Linked DNA regions of Mus musculus: regions 2, 3, 4 and 5 are each reported to be linked to region 1. The links are microRNA targets in miRTarBase. Many come from high-throughput screens and were not tested one by one. Region 1 holds a microRNA gene; each other region holds the end of a gene's coding sequence. Distances are between the middles of the regions.

What was found. Region 1 holds the annotated microRNA mmu-miR-374b-5p (AUAUAAUACAACCUGCUAAGUG, at 2,398-2,419, shown strand). A microRNA usually pairs through its seed, bases 2 to 8, with sites in the 3' UTR of a target mRNA and lowers its output. Matches are read on the target gene's strand: a 7mer-m8 pairs with bases 2 to 8, a 7mer-A1 pairs with bases 2 to 7 and ends in A, and an 8mer does both.
Region 2: miRTarBase lists Frmpd4 as a target of mmu-miR-374b-5p. Seed matches in the 3' UTR shown: 7mer-m8 at 3,071-3,077 and 8mer at 1,106-1,113.
Region 3: miRTarBase lists A130010J15Rik as a target of mmu-miR-374b-5p. Seed matches in the 3' UTR shown: 7mer-m8 at 2,882-2,888.
Region 4: the mRNA of Ppp6r1 is a reported target of mmu-miR-374b-5p. Seed matches in the 3' UTR shown: 7mer-m8 at 881-887 and 7mer-m8 at 888-894.
Region 5: miRTarBase lists Pou4f2 as a target of mmu-miR-374b-5p. Seed matches in the 3' UTR shown: 7mer-m8 at 979-985.

Annotation. Positions count from the first base shown.
Region 1 is chrX:103,571,592-103,575,530 of GRCm38, reverse strand. It overlaps Mir374b (microRNA 374b), which reads left to right and starts at 2,377; the gene lies at 2,377-2,471. All of the region lies in intron 9 of Ftx (Ftx transcript, Xist regulator (non-protein coding)), which reads left to right. It overlaps Mir421 (microRNA 421), which reads left to right and starts at 2,535; the gene lies at 2,535-2,610. It overlaps Mir374c (microRNA 374c), which reads right to left and starts at 2,446; the gene lies at 2,398-2,446.
Region 2 is chrX:167,470,713-167,474,651 of GRCm38, forward strand. It overlaps Frmpd4 (FERM and PDZ domain containing 4), which reads right to left. Exons shown (of 17, transcript NM_001368936.1): 17 at 595-3,939. The coding sequence ends at 3,261. Among named protein-coding and RNA genes, the nearest start is that of Prps2, 90 kb to the left of the region's middle.
Region 3 is chr1:193,174,166-193,178,104 of GRCm38, forward strand. A130010J15Rik (RIKEN cDNA A130010J15 gene) reads left to right here. Exons shown (of 2, transcript NM_181048.3): 2 at 80-3,667. The coding sequence starts at 177. The coding sequence ends at 968. It overlaps Traf3ip3 (TRAF3 interacting protein 3), which reads right to left. Exons shown (of 16, transcript NM_153137.4): 16 at 1,339-1,594. The coding sequence ends at 1,502. Among named protein-coding and RNA genes, the nearest start is that of A130010J15Rik, 2.6 kb to the left of the region's middle.
Region 4 is chr7:4,628,912-4,632,850 of GRCm38, reverse strand. Ppp6r1 (protein phosphatase 6, regulatory subunit 1) reads left to right here. Exons shown (of 24, transcript NM_172894.2): 22 at 252-362; 23 at 454-510; 24 at 607-1,356. The coding sequence ends at 610. It overlaps Tmem86b (transmembrane protein 86B), which reads left to right and starts at 2,369. Exons shown (of 3, transcript NM_023440.3): 1 at 2,369-2,629; 2 at 3,049-3,295. The coding sequence starts at 2,579.
Region 5 is chr8:78,432,150-78,435,149 of GRCm38, reverse strand. It overlaps Pou4f2 (POU domain, class 4, transcription factor 2), which reads left to right. Exons shown (of 2, transcript NM_138944.3): 2 at 1-2,141. The coding sequence ends at 413. Among named protein-coding and RNA genes, the nearest start is that of Pou4f2, 3.0 kb to the left of the region's middle.

The sequences.
Region 1 (3,939 bases):
AGGCGTGCACCACCACCCCCGGCCTGTACACCTTAATCTTGAAAATCAACTTTAATCCTTAACCGCTTTGATGGTCCCCATTTTCTAGTAAAACTTTGTTTCTCCACTTGATATGTTCCCATTTAATGATCACCACAACAGCCTTCTGATGCATTCCAGTGAGGTTTTAAAGGCAATTATCTAACACCTAAGCACAATCATAAAAATTCTGTGCACCAGGAAGACTATAGTCTACCCTTGCATATCTAATATATATGTAGAAAACAAGCGCAGGAACTCTGGGTATGTGGGATAGAGCATTTTGGAGGATGTTCCTGTTGCCTGCTCATGGTAGAGCATGTCCCCAACATGTGTGTTACAAAGGGCTTAATCTCTAGCACAAAAAAAACAGGCAATATTATTCACTTCTACATTTTGTTTTTGGAATAGCTGACAATGAAAATTACAAACAGTATTTTATAAACATAATCTGTAAATGGGAAAATCACATCAAGGATACATTCCCTTTGTCTACCTTGAAATGATCCAAGGCCAGCCTTGTCTACAAAGCCAGTTCCTGAACAGCCAGGGCTACATCGAGCAACCCTGTCTCAACAGGGTAAACAAGGAATGAAAGAAAGATTGATAGTCTCTTACTATGTTAGGTAATGTAGCTTTTATGCAAACTTTAATCAGTGGTTCTGAAGGCTTAAGTTTTCAGTAACATATTGTTGGAGAAATTTGTATCCAGACATCCTTATTGGCCTTGAATTCGTTTAAAGGTATTTTCTGCTCCTTGTCTAAGGGACTGCCAGAAAATGGGTTATACTGCAAGGTTGTGTTTAGTTGAGTATGGATGAGAATTGGGCTCAAGACACTGGAGCTGCTGTTCATCTTCCTACTTGGCTCAGAGACATGACGATTTATACCAGATTGTCTGTCCATTTTAAACTTCTAACTATGAATATAGATACACCTTAAGGGTCTTCAATTTCAAGGTGCTTATTACCCTATAATCTTAAACCCCAGGCTAAGATTATTTATTGATAATGCTGCCAACAAATGTCTTTTAACTCATGAGTAACTTTTGTCGGGGCTACAAGGGGTTTTTTAAGAGTCTGTTTCCCTCTCAGATCACTTTTTCATGTTGATCTAAATGTTTGTCCACAGTTCAAATCATTTATTATTATTATTATTCAGTTCTCTCAGTAGTCAGGATATTGAATTAGTCCCAAAGATGAGAGATATTCAGGTATATAGATTAAACCTTACAGGCTGACTAGTTACTCGCTAAGAGGTTTGGGGTAGGATATATGGAGGAGAGTTTTACAGGGAAGGAATTTTTTGTCATGGATAGCTGCCATCCTCTCATTCCTTAGATATACATTTAGTTTCTTCTCCATAGAAGAGCCGTATCTAGGAACTGCCAATCCTCAGTAAGACACGGAGATAGCAGCGGTGCCCCATCATTCTCATCTGAATAGTCTCTTGTCACTGGCAGGCTTTCTCCTGAACTTTATTTTTCTTTTGAAGTGTTTAGAGACTTGAAATGTTCATTGCTTTACTTTGAAGCATCAGATATGTGTAATATCCACTCTAGGGTTTCTGATCTCAAAGCATTATAAAGCAAGGCATGTTGGCACATGCCTAGAATCCCAGCATTTCGGGTCCTTATACAGGAAGACCATCTTGACTTTGAGTCCAGTCTGGGTTTCATAACAAGTCCCTGACTGAAACAAACAACAAAATCTATGAACATGTTTTCTACTCAGACCTATCGTATTGATCTTTACTATTCAAATAATGCATTTATAATGAGGACAATTTTACTTAAGTAAATGGTTCAGATTTGGGAAAGGAAGCTCTGAAGTGTGCATGCAAACAGTGACTCTAGGGTTTGGGCATAGGCATTAGCTGGCCTGTTTGTTAATTGCGTCCACTCAATGCTATCTTAGTTATTGTTGCTGTTAATGATGGAGCGGGCAATGCAAGAATTAAAAGAAGAAAGTTAATTATTATTATACCTTTTGAATGGTCAATGGTGTTGTGGGGAGGGATCATGGACGTTTTTAATGATTCACTAATGTGAAGTTAGCCCATGTAGGAAACTCGATGATTCTTCCATTCATGCTCTTGATTAGTAATCTATTGCCTTTCTTCTTTGTTCTAAGTTAAAAGCTTTTGAAAACTTGTGTTATAGCTGAATAAAGGTTTTTGTATAAACACAGAAAAGGATGTTTGGGGAATGGTCACAGTTGACCTGAAGCCGAATTCTAACTGATAACTAGCTATGTTAGTTCTTGTGACTGTCATCCCTGGAGAGCAAGAAACAACAGCTGGCCTTGGTGATCAGGAGAACTTCATGGATCGCGCAGCAACCTGGAGTGGTGTTCCTCTGAAGAAATCCTACTCGGGTGGATATAATACAACCTGCTAAGTGTTCTAGCACTTAGCAGGTTGTATTATCATTGTCCGAGGTTATGGCTCTCGTCTATCAAACTAATCCGTAAGGGCAAGGATGGTGACTTTGTACTCACAGTGCCTAATCCGGTGCACATTGTAGGCCTCATTAAATGTTTGTTGAATGAAAAAATGAATCATCAACAGACATTAATTGGGCGCCTGCTCTGTGATCTCCATGGGCTCAGCTTGTTCCTGCCAGTGGCCTTCAACGTTCAAGCTCTCCGCAGCGTCCTTATTTCTGCAGCTCATTCCTGTGTTCTGTGTAGTATAATCATAGTGGATATATTTTACCTTTCAAACCAATTCCAATTGATTGATAATTGTGCCTCGACTGTGTTTTATAAAAAGGATTCCATATCTGGTTCTTTTCTATCCTGAGGGTGTGGAAGGAAGGGATAATAGCTCATGTACCATAAATGTGATATTTTCTATGAAATACTGTATTTATGCCTGTGTTTTGGAAATGCCTGCTTGTCATTGTTGCATCTCTGTTGTTGTTACTATAATCGCTACCGATTACTCCCTAGGTTGGACTACAGTGATCACTGAGTAGGAGCTTCGTCTTTAAAATCTGGGGTGTGCTGTTATGGTTGGTATTCATTTTCCTTTACCCGCTTTCCCCATACCTCCATTTATAATTTTATTGCTGCTCATAGCTCCAGAAGGATATAGTAACAGAGCAGGCATGGCCTCAGTGTGGTAAGCTAAGTGAGAACAGGAAGTGGAACCAGGGTAGAAAACCCCAGTCTTGCCCCTAGTGACACACCTCAAGCAAGGTTCTCCTTCTGAAAGGTCCCATTACATTCCCAAATGTAGCCACCACCTGGGATATGAGTGTTCAAATACATGAGGTAGGGCCACGGTGTTCCTTCAAAGCACCACAGAGGGCAGAATGTACACCCTGCTAGAATAGCTTTCTATGAAAGGATCCATCTCTTCACTGGAGCAGGCAGACATATGAAGAAGACAACTTGGAGTGGTCGTGAAAGGATTTGAGGTTTGGCATGGACTCTAAGAAGCACGAGATTTGTGGTTTTCCTTCTTTGTTTCTTGCTAGGTAGTCCTGGCTGTCTAGTAACTACCTACAAAGATCAAGGAGACCCCAATCTTGTAGCAATCCTGCTGCTGCCTCACAATTGTTAGGATTATAGACATGGGCACATGTTCATTAGAAAGTTGCACTGTTCTCTAATTCATCTTTTAAGATAAACTATAGAGGGATGAAGATTAGCATGTTACACCACCACAGATAGAAACCATTCTAGTATCACGAAACATCCAACTCATGTAGAATTTCCATTCGCTGTTTGGGATGATAGAGAGATGGAATTGAGTTTTTAGAAGGTAAACCACACAAGAGAGTCTAGGGAACTGACAGAGCCTGGCTGGACTGCACAGTTCGTCCTCAAACGACTTTTTACTGACCCAGCTCCTGAGGAAAGGACCCTGGTGTCTGAACTTCAACGCTGATTTAATAATCATTGTTTTCATGACTGG
Region 2 (3,939 bases), 64 Mb from region 1:
AAGATTCATGTGCTCACACCAACTGAGTTCAAAGTTAAACTCAGAAGAATGAAATGAATGAAAATAGCGATAAATAAAGAGAAACGGATGGGGGAAAGATGGCAGTGATTATGGACAAAGTCTATGGAGGCTCCACTTGTAAAGGACTTTCATTTTCATTACCATTTATTTCTGTAATGTTTGTTTAATGATATGGAAGAATTGCTCATTTTTATATGTGAAGTGGCATTGTGGTTATTTTTTAAAGTTCTTATTCCTAATGAGATACTCATAGATTAAGGGACAGGGTACCAGGGAGTTTCTAAATCTTACAGGTTGGGAGGAGGTGTGTAGAAATGGAGCAAGTAATACTGATTAGGAGTTGATATCCAAGGAGTCACCAGTTGACACCTTTTACAACTGCATGAATTTTTGTACACATTTGTACCTTTTATAATGACAGCTACATGAGAGTGGGGAGAGAGACACTTAGGAAAATAGGAGTTTACATACTCCAAGTGTAAACAAATTTCAGTGCCAGTTCCATGTTCTTCAAAATTTAGTGAATGCAACGCTACCTGTGACGGTATTTGCATACATGCACCAGGCTTATGCTTGTTTATTTGTTTATTTATTTATTTAAAATTATGTACATGTACCACTGTACTATTATGCCATTATAAAACATACACAAACATAAAAAAACTAGATAAAAATAAACACAAGTATCATTCTAGTATGTTCTTCCTATACTCTAATGGACATGAACTCCAGTTAGGAGCCCCATGCTTAATGAAGGTGAGGGGGCCTTTTGAGATTTTTGAATAGTAAAGACTTGCTTTAGGAGAACAGAAACTTACTGGAGTAGTCACAGGAAATTAGAGATTGGCTAGAAAGACCCAGAGCTATTTCCCTGAGGCTTCTCAAAGAACCACAATGGAGTAGGAAGTTGTTCTAGCTAGATTTGCAATTTGAAAACAGACCATCATTTCCCTGTATGCTTCTTTTCAGAGTATGCACTACACACAAATGTGTTCTGCACACAATCAGGATACAGTATGCATCGAAAACAAACATCCTCCACACAGTATCTTGGGCAATATGTTTAACACAACAATTATGATAATTATAATATCTAACATTGAATACTTATTCTCCATCAGATATTGTGGTAAGAACTTTACAATACACAATTTTACTTAAAACTTGTGAAAACCCTATGGAAATAGATCTCATGATTGAAGTCCATTTCACAATAAGGAAATCAAGACTGAAAAAGAAAAGATAGCTTTCCCAAGATGAAAGGGCTAGGGAATGGCAGGACCAAAATTTAAATCAAGATGTTTCTGATCCCAAGCCCCACATTTCATAACTAGTAAACCATAATGCCTCCAGAAGGAACTAATGATAGTGTCCAAACCAAGAGATCATAGACATGATTAAATGAGATAATACATGTGATAATAATGTTTAGCACATTGTCTGACACAGAGCACACATCCTATTATTGTTTGTATTATAGTACACAGAATATTTGCTAAGATTTTCCACAGTAAACACCACTAATGTCTCTCAACAGCAAAACACCAAATATTTAGAATTGTAATGAAATAATGTTTTATTATTTAATCAAACATTATTTATAACAACGTATATCTGAACTCCTTTCATTGGTTACAATCTGTAAATCTGTGGTGTTGCATTTGCTGAGTCTCTGTGGAATGAATGGCTGACCAGAGAGAAATAGCAACTGTAGACCTTGCTAGGTCTCCTGCATGGCAGGCTACAAAATGGGAAATATTGATTCTTGCTATACTACTCTTATTCTAAGCCATTTACAGAAATAGGAATTGGGGAGCTTGACTACAGAGTGATCCAGAAACTACATATGTACATATCAATTTAACTTATGATTGAAGAGTTTGCCTTCTTTTGTTTTGACCCAAAGATATAATTTGAGTGATGACAGTTCAGAACACACCTTTGTATTCCCTTAGTTTCACTTAAAATAGTCAAATTTGCCATGTTTCTGTCAGATTTTGTATTTCTATCTGCCAAATGAAGTACTCATTAGGTAAATACTACCTTTTGAATCATGGTTTCAATTATGAGAGTAGTCATCTCTACTTGATTTTCTGGAACACTCTAGATTTGAAATTTTGTCCCAGTAGTAGGCTGTCTTTCCACGTTTTGTTGCTAGCCATGCTCCTGTCAGAGAGGGGCAACAGGAAGCCCTTCATGGAGCTGAGGACTAAGAGTTGAAGGCTGAGCTGTGCTTCCCAGGTGCTGGGGTGCGCTCTGATTTACATTGCTGGGTCTGCACTTTTTGTGCTCATTAAATCTGCTTTTGTGTAATTCTACAAACACTTTACTAGGTGTTCTTGAAAGGAAATAGTAAGCTTCATGGTTGAGTTGGAAGGAAATAATGCCTTCGGTTTATGTATTTTGACATTGAGTCAAAGCAGATCTCTCTTTTCATCAAACAATTTAATTTTGGCATTACTAATTCCATTTATTTTATGTAATTAGACAACCTATACCTTTAGTTATTGCCTAGGATCCTGCCCATAATTTCCCCTGTTCTTTTATTTGGGGGAACTTTTTAAGTCTAGAAATACTATAAAAAGCATTTATGCTGACACAATGGAATCTGCCCACCCCTGCCAATCTGTAGCCCAAATAGCATAAACCAAAATTGAATATGTGGGGATTCTTGGAAGAAAGCATCCAATAACAAAACACTATGAGCAAAAAGTTAATTTATTATATATTTTCTAGTAATTCATATTAGCTTCTTGAATTTTAAATATATTTTTGCTACTTCCAATGTTTAAAAATTATGATTTTAAAACACGGGAACTATTTTATATACATTTTGATTTCTTTTCTATTCTGTTTCTTTTGGCTTTTCTTCTAAATATGAATGATAGGGTCTCCAAGTATCCATTTGGAAGGAAAGGGGATAGGATTCATTGTTTTCCTCTAACAATGTAGAATTTAAAATTTCATATCATATGCTTAGAGTTTTGACTACATGAAAAATAGTCAAATGTCATCATTTTCTCATATATTCCTTCTACATGTATATTTGTATAATATAAACAGAATATATCTGATTGAGACTTTTCAACATTTCATCAATGTAACTTCTATCTCCTATTTTATATAAAAGAACAAAATATACAGAGAGAAGAAAGGAGACATCTGTTCATTGTACACAGAAAGTAAAGAAAAGTTCATGTATGGCTTTGCAAAGATAGATTATGATGTGACTTCCATATTTATTTATTTAAAAGCATCTTGAGAGAACGTGTTAGTGTGCTTACAAGAGCGGCCATGGTGGTTGAATGTCGCATCGATAGTCCAATATTAGGATCCCCAGTGGTCTTGCCAGTGGCTGCCTCAGCAGCTTTCAGGAGACAAATATAGTTTATGACCACTTCATCAATCTTTGCTACAATTTCTTGCCGCTGTGTTTCAGTGTTCACGACTTTCACTAACCGCATGCAAGCTTCTGTTAGGCAACAGAGCACTTGAAAACTGGAACTCATAGCTAGGAGCATCTCTTCTGGGCTTTTCTCGGCCATTGCCATTTTCCTACAGGCACTTCCCAACTGTCTGGACTCAATGGATAACAGTTGCTTGTACTGAGAAAGTGTAAGGTCATATGTTTCAGGGCGTGACTCCTCCTTCCTTGCCTTGGTTGCCCTCACAAGGCAGAGCAGCTCATTGGCATCATTTTGGGCTTCGAGAAACCCATCGGGCATTCCATATGTGTTTGCCTTTAGGGCATTTATTCTTGCAATCCGGGCATCAAAAGCCAGACTGCTGAAGTCCAAGTCATCTGGGCCATCTGGGTCTTCTGTCCAGACCTTCAGAGCTGTCCCTCTGGACAGTTCTTCCCCTTGCTTCTGCAGTCCAACAACCAGGGATGAGTTACCTGGTTCCGACATGGCTTGG
Region 3 (3,939 bases), not on the chromosome of region 1:
CTGCCAGAGAAATGGGGTGCAGCATTGGTGACCCCATCTTGACAGTATTAACGATTTCCCCCTACCATATTGTTTCTAGGATCTTTCTCAAGTGCTGGGAGCTGAACTGTGTGTGGCCCAGGGAAAGGAACTGTGGCTAGCTAAGGAGGCCATATGTCATGTAACTTCCAGATCTTATGTCAACACCAAGCCCTCAGCTGCTGGTGGCAGCTGCTCAGCAGACTCTGGGCATGGGCAAGAGAAAATGCCCACCTCGAGCTACCTGCCTTCACCTGGCAGGAGAGGTGCTGGCTGTGGCCCGCGGGCTGAAGCCAGCTGTACTCTATGATTGCAACTCTGCAGGAGTATTGGCGCTCCAAAGTTATCTGGAGGAACTACAGGGGCTGGGCTTCCTGGAGCCAGGACTTCACATTCTTGAGATTGGAGAGAATAACTTTATTGTCAGTCCTGAGTATGCCTGTCAGCATTTGGAACAGACACTGCTTGGTACTGTAGCTTTCGTGGACGTTTCCCGCTCCCAACCTCATCCTTCTGTCCGGTCGGTGGACCAGCTCCCGGACTTGAAATCTCTCATAGCTGACGTCATCACACGTTTTCGAGGACTTAAGAAAGATGTGTCTCAGGGAGTCTCCTACACCAGGCTACATTCCTCAGACTGGAATCTCTGCACTGTATTTGGGATACTCCTGGGATATCCAGTCTCTTACACATTTGACCTGAACCGTGAAGATGACAACTGCTTAACCATGACTCCCCTGCGGGTGTTTACTGCCCGGATTTCGTGGCTGCCTGGTCAACCATCAATTCTGCTGTACTCCTTTAGTGTTCCAGAGAGTTTGTTCCCAGCCCTGAAAAACTTTCTAAGTGCCTGGGAGAAGGAACTCAGAACCCGATTTAGGGCTCAGAATGCCTTTGCTGACCTCAGCATCTCCTCTGAGGTGGTCACACTTCCTGCTGTGGCCCTCTGAGTTAACTCTGTCCGTTGAGAAGGTATCAATGAATGTCAATTACGATGAATGTTGTGCAGTCAATTGAACACGTGTGAATGGGGAGAGTCGTTGGCAGCAGTAGTATGATTTCAGTCTTTATATTAGGAGTTCCTAGGTCCTTAGCCGAGGTGTCTGTTTATTTTTCATTGAATGAGAGATGGAAAAGGAGCATTGTGGAGACATGAGTGTACCCTGGGATGGTGGCCTTCCCTGGTGGATAGTGCCTTAGAGGGAAGGAGAATGACTAGGTAATCTATGTATGGAACTCTAACTGAAGTAGGGTGCGAGACAATGATGCTTAAGGGTTACACTTGTGGCTTATTTCTCAGGAATACACAGTTCTAAAGAGTAGTCTTGTGAGATAAAGTTTATTTACAACCTGGTGAAAAAAAAATAAAACTAAGAGTCCGGATTCATTTGGAGGGAAACCCAAGTTATAAAGTACCAGAACTCAAGGTTTTCATGGAGTTGTTTGCATCTGAGTTTTACTTCAGATAGATGCCAGAAGTTCTTCAGATGACCAGGTTGCCTTTGTTTGCCAGGAACACTGCCAGTGCTGTAGCAATCACCACCATCAGCACTGGGAGCCATTGACCACACTGCAGCTGTATGGAAGGAGGTGGAGACAGGAGAGAGCAGCTATGAATTAGCTGGAGAAAGTATGGGCAAGAATAGTCCTTTGGCATTTTAACCCAGTAGAAGACCTCACACTGGTGGCAGAAGGGGCTTTTTTTTTTTTTTTCTCTTCAGTGTCTCCCTCACTTTTTGTCATTTCCACTAGATAAAACCAGTTTACTAGTGGCCTAGAGACTCATATCTGACAGGGGACAGATATTTAAATGCTGATCTGAATGAGGTGGAAATTAACTCAGCAGAATAACACTCTTTGTACACGCCTCAATACTTTTGCAGTCCTCCTCTGCCCTTGTCATTATGTTTACAATAAATCAAAAAAGTACTCTTTCATGCTTGAACCAATACAGGCTGAATATCCTTTTTCTGAAATGCTTGGGATTAGGACTCATTCAAATTTTGTCTTTTTTTTTCCCATTAGTATTTGTTTAGTATTTGTATTAGTATTTGTAGTAGTAGTATTAGTATTTGTTTACCAGTTGAGCAGACGTAATAAAAAGACATCTGAATACCAAATGTCCTGAAATCATTTGATTCTTTTGAGCATTGTGCTTCTTTGTGCATGGTGTGCTCTGGATCTAGAACATGTCAGGTTTCCATAGCAGGAGTGCTCAATCTAGTGTCTTCCAGACTCGAGAGGTGCATAGAAATGGGGTGAATAGTGGACAGTGTTTCTTCCATGTTTGCTGTATTGTTGGCATAGTGTAAATCAAGTGGAATGGGACAGGATGACCAGATGTTGGTGTGGACTGATATATTTTATCTGTAACACTAGGCTTAAAAAAGAACTATTCAGCTGGGCAGTGGTGGCACACACCTTTAATCACAGCACTTGGGAGGCAGATGCAGGTGGATTTCTGAGTTCGAGGTCAGCTTGGTCTACAGAGTGAGTTCCAGGACAGCCAAGGCTACACAGAGAAACCCTGTCTCAAAGAAAAAAAAAAAAGAAAGAAAAAAATCCACCACCACCACCACCACCAAAAGGAACTACCCCACTGTGATGTAGGGCTGTAGAGGGGGATGGCCCTTCTTACTCTGGGAAATGGCTCCTGGCTGTGCCTCAGTGCTTCTTGACTGTGATGTAGCTTTTGCAAAAAAGAAAGGTACTTCTCATTGAGGATGTCTATTCTGAATGCAGTTCTCTGCACTGGGGAGAGCATAGCAAGGTGTCATCAGCTCATTCTCTCTCTCTCTCTCTCTCTCTCTCTCTCTCTCTCTTTCTCTCTTTCCTTCTTTTCTTTCTTTTTTAAAGATTTATTTATTATATGTATATAAGTTACACCAGAAGAGTGCATCAGATCCCATTACAGATGGTTGTGAGCCCTCATGTGGTTGCTGGGAATTGAACTCAGGACCTCTGGAAGAACAGCCAATGCTCTTCACCAGTGAGCCATCTCTCCAGCCCCCAGTTCTCTTTCCAACAGAATTCTGGAAGAGGACTGCCCTGAGTACTATACTCCTTCACTTGTTTTAAGTGAACTATTTTCTAACCCAAATTTCTCAGAGATTTTAGTCTTCTTCCTATCATATAGTTTATTGTGAGTATGTTGAGTTATAAGATTGGTTATGATGCATCTGTTACATTTTACACATAGAAACACTTTCAATTATTCTGCATTATTTATTCATTGTTAGGGTTGTGAGTGTGTGTGTATGTATGCTAATATCTTGTACATGTGTGTGTAAGTCAGAAGACAACTCTTCGAGTCACTTCTTTCCTGCCATCTCTATGGTAGGTCCCAGGGATTGAACTCAGGGCATCAGGCTTGGCAGCAGGTACCTTTACCTACTAAGCCAGCTTATTGGCCCCAGGACTTGTAAATGCTTTCATGTGACTTTGTGAAAATGCTCTGTATGTGGGCAAACTAATAAATAAACAAATAAAGAAAGAAATAAGTTCTTCAGCACTGGAGGACATGCCTCTCTTCCTTGGTGTCTAGTTGCTTCTGCACACTTCCAAGAGTGTGAGTTTGAAAGAATGTTCCTAGGAAAGTGTTTGTTATTTAAAAGATACAACATAAAATAAAGCATTCTGATACTTAGTATATGACAATATAAGCAGTTAATGTGTTTACTAAATATTTTTGTGTTCTGATTGATCTCCTAGTTGGTTACCAATGTATCCTTTAATAGGGGTTGTTATAAATTAGGAAGGAGAAAGATCGCAAGTCAATCCAAGAGCAAAGACATTTATAGAAGAAAATGAACACTTGTGGTCATCCAGTAACAATTTAAGCTTGGAAATTCCTGCTTTCCATTGCCCCTAGAAGGGTTCTCTGCCCCACTCCCACCCCATACCAATCTCAATGAACCCTCA
Region 4 (3,939 bases), not on the chromosome of region 1:
CCAAGAGGATCAGGGACCACGAGAAGCAGGACTGTGCATAGCCCCAGAAGCGTATCCTGCAGGGGGATGACCACTGAGAGGAGCTGGGTATAAGTTCTGGTTTCCCCCTGTGGCTCTGCAGCCCCACTATGCTCTGCCATCAGTATGCTCATAGGCTTTTTTGTTCTGAGATTTCTTTGTTACCCAGCCGTGGCCTCAGGCAGGCAGTGATATGGAATATCTAACAGTATTCAAATTGATCTCTCTTACAGTGCAACCAGAGACCCCTCTACCTCTGTCCCAGACTTCAAGGCCCACCAGTCTCCTCAGACCATGGAGGGGAAAAGGAGCCCAGAACATTTGGGGCTTCCCCAAAGCCAGAGGTGAGTTAGTCTCTCTGGGTGGTGTTGGGTGGATGAAGCAGGGCTAATAGGGCAAGAAGTAACCTCCATGTTTCCTTTTCTCCCCTAACAGTGCCCTTGAGATGCCCAATGGCTCTACCCCAGGAGGGCCTATTTCATCGGGTTCCCAGTGAGTGTGGCAATAGCCTTGGGTGGGTCAGCAAGATGAGGTCACTGGACCCATGTCCATGGTCCATGTGACACATGTGTTTCTCTCTGTTTCCAGGTAGCTGCCTGGTGACAGTGGTGGCCAAATCCTCTGTCCTCCCTGTGGAATCCCTCTGTGGGGCAGGATGAGTCCTTTGGTGGCCCTCTACTCTATTGTCCCACACCCTACATTCTCTCCTCTGGACTCCCAAGGAGGCTGGTGCCAGGGAGATGCCCTCACCCACCCCCATTTGCACTGAGAAGAGAAACTATGGAGTTTTGTCTCCAAGAATAAAGATAGAGAGTCACATAGAAAGGAAAGAGAGAGAGAGAGCGAGAGAGAGAGAGAAGTATATTATATATTATATATATATATATATATATATATATATATATATATATATATATATATATATATATATATATACATATACATATATATGTTGAGGGAGGAGTAAGAAAGAAAGCCAGGACAATAACTGGGCCAGCAGCTCTGAAGCACACCTTCCCCGTCTGTCCCAGTAGGGGCTGGCGCTGGGGTTGGAGGCCGCTGGCCTGTGCTCTGGTGCAGATGCTCTTACCCAGCTTCACTCAGGACCACCTTGGGGTGTAACAGAGGGTGTCATCCGGCCCCTGGCCCTGGGGAACATCCCTAGAGGCCCAGAATGGGGGTTGCTGGGTACCCCATGCCCTGAGGGTTCCAGCACTGCTGCCAAGTGGCCTTGTCCCAGCTCCCCCTGCCCCCCCCAAGGCTGGTGTGAGTGTGCAAGTATGTGTGCAGAGCTTGTGTTTCATACTGCAGATATAAATAAAGGAAGATAGCAGAACATTCCTGCTGTGGGACTGTGAGTTCTGGGACTCAGAGTTGGGTGAACTTGCTCTTCATAGCCTAGAGAGCTACATTCTCTTAGGACCACACTTGTGAGAGTGTGTGTGGGTGTAGGGGATGGGGAATACTTAGACATCAGGCAGAACATCAGGAGTTAGCACTCTGGGGCGCTCTCATCCTGATATGTGTACCTCCGTGGCCCTGTTCCAAAATGCAGATCAGTTAGGGCTGTGCTGACTCAGCTCTATCCTCTAACAGGCCTGCTAAAAGGAGCAAGAGGTCCCTGGACTTTGGAGCTGAGCGTCCTGCCATTACGGGGATAGGAGGCACCAGGCATGTGGTGGTGGCAGAGGCAGAGGCAGGTGGATCTGTGTGAGTTCAAGCCCAGCCATGTCTACAAACTGAGTTCCAGGACAGCCAGGGCTGGGCAGAGAAACCCTGTCTCAAAAACAAAGGTGTGGGGGCTGGTGAGATGGCTCAGTGGGTAAGAGCACCCGACTGCTCTTCCAAAGGTCAGGAGTTCAAATCCCAGCAACCACATGGTGGCTCACAACCATTCGTAACGAGATCTGACTCCCTCTTCTGGAGTGTCTGAGGACAGCGACAGTGTACTTACATATAATAAATAAATAAATCTAAAAAACCAAAAACAAAAAACCAAAGGTGTGGGAGAGATTAGGAGACAGGAAGCTCCCTTGAGAATGGACATACAATGAAGCATCCCTAAGGGGGATGGTTGAGGAACCTAGTAGTTTCTTGGCATCCAGTAGGTCCCTATCTTGTTCATGGGAAGGCTGCAGAACATGAGTGTACAGTGGTGTGGTCGTCCTTCCTTCCAGGGAATGTTTGAATGACTTCAGGCACAATGCAGGATTTATTTAACCAGTGTTTGTGGCAGGACCCCTGTTTTCCAGGGTTGGTTGTAGGGCTACCCCTCTGTGGAACTTTGCATTGTTCCTTATAATTGGCTGGGTGTGAGACAATGGGAGTTCCACTTTGGGGGAGGGGGCTCACTTTTGGAGGTGGTGGCCAGGTTTCTAAGTGCTGGGGGGTGGCCCTTGGTGCCTGATGGGTACCTTATCAGCAAGTGCCAGACAAGAGCAGGCCTTGCGTGAGCCCTGTTATCAGCCCCAGAGTCCACAGGACACTTGGGTTAATGTGTAACCACAAGACTTCCCTCTGCCCTCTGAAGCCACTGGCTCCTAAAGAGAAGCAACTCAGCATGGATGCTAGAAAAGAGGGGCTGCCCCTGGAGACACTCTTTTCAGACCAAGTGAGAACCTGTAAGGTGGGGATGGGCAGGTCTGGGAACATGGGCAGTACTGGGGCCTGTGATTCTCTATGCTTGGTGAGTTGGTGGGGATGCCCTGTCCTTCCAGGAGGCTGGGTTCTAAGGTATCGTGGTTTTGTCCTTGCAGGAGATAGGAATGAAAAGGTTCTCAAGGTGGCTAAAGATCCTAGTCCCGAAAGTCCAACCTGGACATGCTTGGGTCCTGGCATGAGGGTGGTGTGGGGGATGGCCGTTAAAATAGGTTCTCACTGGGTATCCTAGACAGGTTTTGAAATCAACAGCCTCCCGTTTCCACCTGCTAAGTACTGGAATTAGACATTTCCTACAGTGCCTTGCAGTGACCCCTCCCCCAGGACTGGCTGCGAATGGGAGGGAGGCTGAGAAGCTTCGCTCTCTTGAAGTACCCACAGGTCCGCAGGTGGCTGGCCCCCTTCATCCTTGCCTGCTCCCTTTACTTCCTCCTCTGGATTCCTGTGGACCAGCCATCTTGGGTCAGTGCCCTGATCAAGTGCCAGCCCATTCTCTGCCTGGTTGTGTTCCTGTGGGCTGTGGCCCCTGGTGGGAGCAGCACCTGGCTCCTGCAGGGAGCTCTTGTATGTTCTGCTGTGGGAGATGCCTGCCTCATCTGGCCTGAAGCTTTCTTTTATGGTGAGCAGGGGCTTCTATGACAACACACCTAGGGTTCTTGTGGAGTTGAGTCAGTACTGGGACACAGCTTTTCATTATATGGAGCCCTCCCTCCCTAGGTCCTCTGGGTTATCCAGAGGTGCCAGAAGGCAGTGATGGGTGACAGCATAGCTCACAGTTCAGCCAGGGGCTTGGAGTCAGACTGGTTGGAAGATGTGGGATTACCTGGTTGGAAGGGGTGGTGTGGAGAAAATTAAGGTGTAGCATGACTGAGGTGGGTGGGGGAGGTAAGGAGTCATTTTTGAGATGTCTATATATGAGGGCTGGTCTGAATGGCCTCAAATGTTGGATCCTCCTGCCTTAGTTTTCTCAAGGGCTAGGATTACAGGAATAAGGATATGTAGCTGTGTAGATGGGAAGTGTGGCCATCCTGGGCATGGAAAGTGCATGTGGAAAGGACCTGGGGTAATAGTGTATGAGTTACTTTGTCCAAATGGGCCAGTTTGGCTAGAGTAGGATGGGGAAAACAAGGGTATGGGGCTTCCCAGAACACGATTTGGAAAGACAGGTACTTGAGCAGAGCAAGCACATGATGCCATGCATCTTAAGGTTATCACCATTGCTTTGGGAACTGATTGAACACCCAAGGATAAGAAGAATTTGGA
Region 5 (3,000 bases), not on the chromosome of region 1:
GAGTGACCCAGGCAGATGTGGGCTCGGCGCTGGCCAACCTCAAGATCCCGGGCGTGGGCTCGCTCAGCCAGAGCACCATCTGCAGGTTTGAGTCTCTCACGCTGTCACACAACAACATGATCGCGCTCAAGCCCATCCTGCAGGCGTGGCTGGAGGAAGCTGAGAAATCCCACCGCGAGAAGCTCACTAAGCCGGAGCTCTTCAATGGCGCGGAGAAGAAGCGCAAGCGCACGTCCATCGCGGCGCCGGAGAAGCGCTCTCTGGAAGCCTACTTCGCCATCCAGCCAAGGCCCTCCTCGGAGAAGATCGCGGCCATCGCCGAAAAGCTGGATCTCAAGAAAAATGTGGTGCGCGTCTGGTTCTGCAACCAGAGGCAGAAACAGAAGAGAATGAAATACTCTGCCGGCATTTAGGGACCCTTCTCCAGGGATGGCCCTTTCCCTTCGCCCTCTTTTTTTCTAACCCCCTTCTTGTCTCTTCTGCCTCTTTCCTTTCTACTTTGGCTATCAGAAAACAATTCCGGTAAATGTGAACCCAGACCAAGCCAGGAGCAAAGAAGCAAGCAGCTGAGCCCAAATCAGAGAGATTGTGAACCGGTTTCGCAGTGAAGAAAAACCAAAACCACAAACAACACAACACGAAAAGGAATTTGTCAAGTTGTAGCAGAGCTGTCCCCTTTAACTGCACCTGGGCTGCTCGGCTTCATCAGAGAAAGCGAGGAGCTGACTGTCAACAGGAAGGTAGAGGGACAAGCTTTTGAAAACCCTGCAAGAATGAGCAAGTAAGATTTGTTTTTGTTCTTACAGACGTCACCTTGTTCATGTTTAAAAGTACACTTTGCAGCTATTTTTCAGAAATAGAAATTGATTCAGGACTGAAACTCGAAGCTAGAGTTGATGCTTAATGTGATATGATAGAGACATCTCTAAAGTATTTTGAATTAAAAAAAGATGGCAGATTTTCTGCATTTACACTGTATATTATATATATATTTTTACTGTGGTTCTTATCGCTTTCTTCCTTCTCTGAAGTGTTAACACTTATGGAAGGAGTTGCGCCTGCTGTGTTCACTGATCTTGACAGCTATTATTAGATTATTGCCGTACAACCCTCTGTAAATTATTAATTTATCTCTCTGGCAACTTAATTTTGTGCACATCCTAATTAATTAAACTTCTTTAGTCTGAAAAATAAAACCGGCGGATACGTATAGCTAGTGATGCTCAAAACATTTTTCTTTTTTTCTTTTTGGTCCTGGATTTTTACAGCTTCCCACTTAGACTGTGTTCGCTTTGGCCTAGTTGTATATTCTCACTTTGAATGAAGATTGTTTCTTCCCTTTGTTTTTGACTGGTAGTGATCTAATTTGTGAGCTGACACTTTATAATTGATGTCTTAACCGTGTAGACCAGATTCACTGTCCGAAGTCTTGTTTACTTCCTTACATATTTAATGGGGATTCCCATATTGTCCCCGCGGCACACGTGCTCTCTCACTCACCTTACATGCCTACACACAAACACACATACACATCTCTAACAGAAGAGAAGAAGCAGCTGGAGGTACCAACGATGAGCAGTGTATACTTTCCCAGCCTTAGGTGCAGTCTCCACTTGGTGCTTACTCTGCTGGATTCTAAGATTTCACCAAGGTATTTCCATCTCCCAGTTTTCGATTGCTTTGTTGCTACATTTTGACCTTTATAGGGGTCCTTCATTTTTTCCTTTTAGGAGGTTTGTTTGTAGGGGGAAAAATTTGGAACTATAAGAAAGACAGTGCACTGCTTGTAAATTCACAGTGTTTGGTAGAATCCTTTTGGAGCACACACACAAATAGGTACAAAGTGACTGGTACCTTATCTATTGTAAATATTTCATTCAAAATGATGCACATATGAATATATTCTTACAGAATTTGCTGTAATTGCTGATCCATTTGAGGCTCTCCAAAGTTCTGAGTTCTGTATATGACCTCGTTTCTTGTTTTTGTTAATGGGTTATTTACTATAGTAATGTATTAAGTTATTTTGAGTGTTGTTTCATTGTCTTTCATTGAAGAGATGATTTTAATGTTTTACTGGCAAAGTATGCTGCTTTTTTCATTAAAATATGCTATTAATATTAAATGACTTTTAAAACGTGATGCAGTTTTTAATCATTTATGTGGGAATTATTTTGGTGCTGATTCTTTTAAAAGACAGGAACACAGAGAGTGGCCGCTATTAAAACACGGCTTGGACTTTGTAAGAGGCAACTCCCTGGGAAAGGATAAAAGAACAAGAGGATTTATAATATCACGTTAATGGCCAGGGCTCATCTCACAGGGCGCTTTGCTTTTTAGCTTAGATGAAATCATGGTGTCTGGCTCCATATAGCTCCTCTGGAGTCCTTTCTCCAGACTTGAAATAATTCTGTAAAGAGAATCTTACAAAGCCAAGGTCAGATGGAAACTATTTCAGCCACTCCTTCCCATCTCCTATGGGGCAAAGGAAGAAAGGGACCCAGCCCACATTTCAGTAGCTGTGGGAGTCTGGGTGTGGCAACTGTGGGGGCAGGACTTGGTGAGCCAGGAGCAGAGTGCAGCCCCCATCTTCTCAGTTCTTTAGCCTGTCCTGGAAATCAACCTGGGGTTCTGGCAGATGAATAAAGTCTCTGTCTTGGTGTCCCTCTGTCTCTGTCTTTTTCTATTCCCCATAACCTTTAAGAAAATTAATATTATTGCAATAGACAGGATGTGGCTGAGGAAAATCCTGGGTTGTTAAAAGGAACAAAATTTTGCCCCTTTTTGTGACTTTGTCTGGCACAGGATCTGGAGGAAGTCTATTAAACATTCATGTGGCCATGGGATTCTGCCCATTTGGCACAGCCACTTCTTTTTCTAATCCGACTTTAAGACAATTCCTCTCCCATTATAATAATTTTCGGGTCCTTCACAATTGTTGGGCAATGTATTGGGCTTTCAACGTTTCTTTTTCTAGTAAGGCTATGATTTGTATTTTTA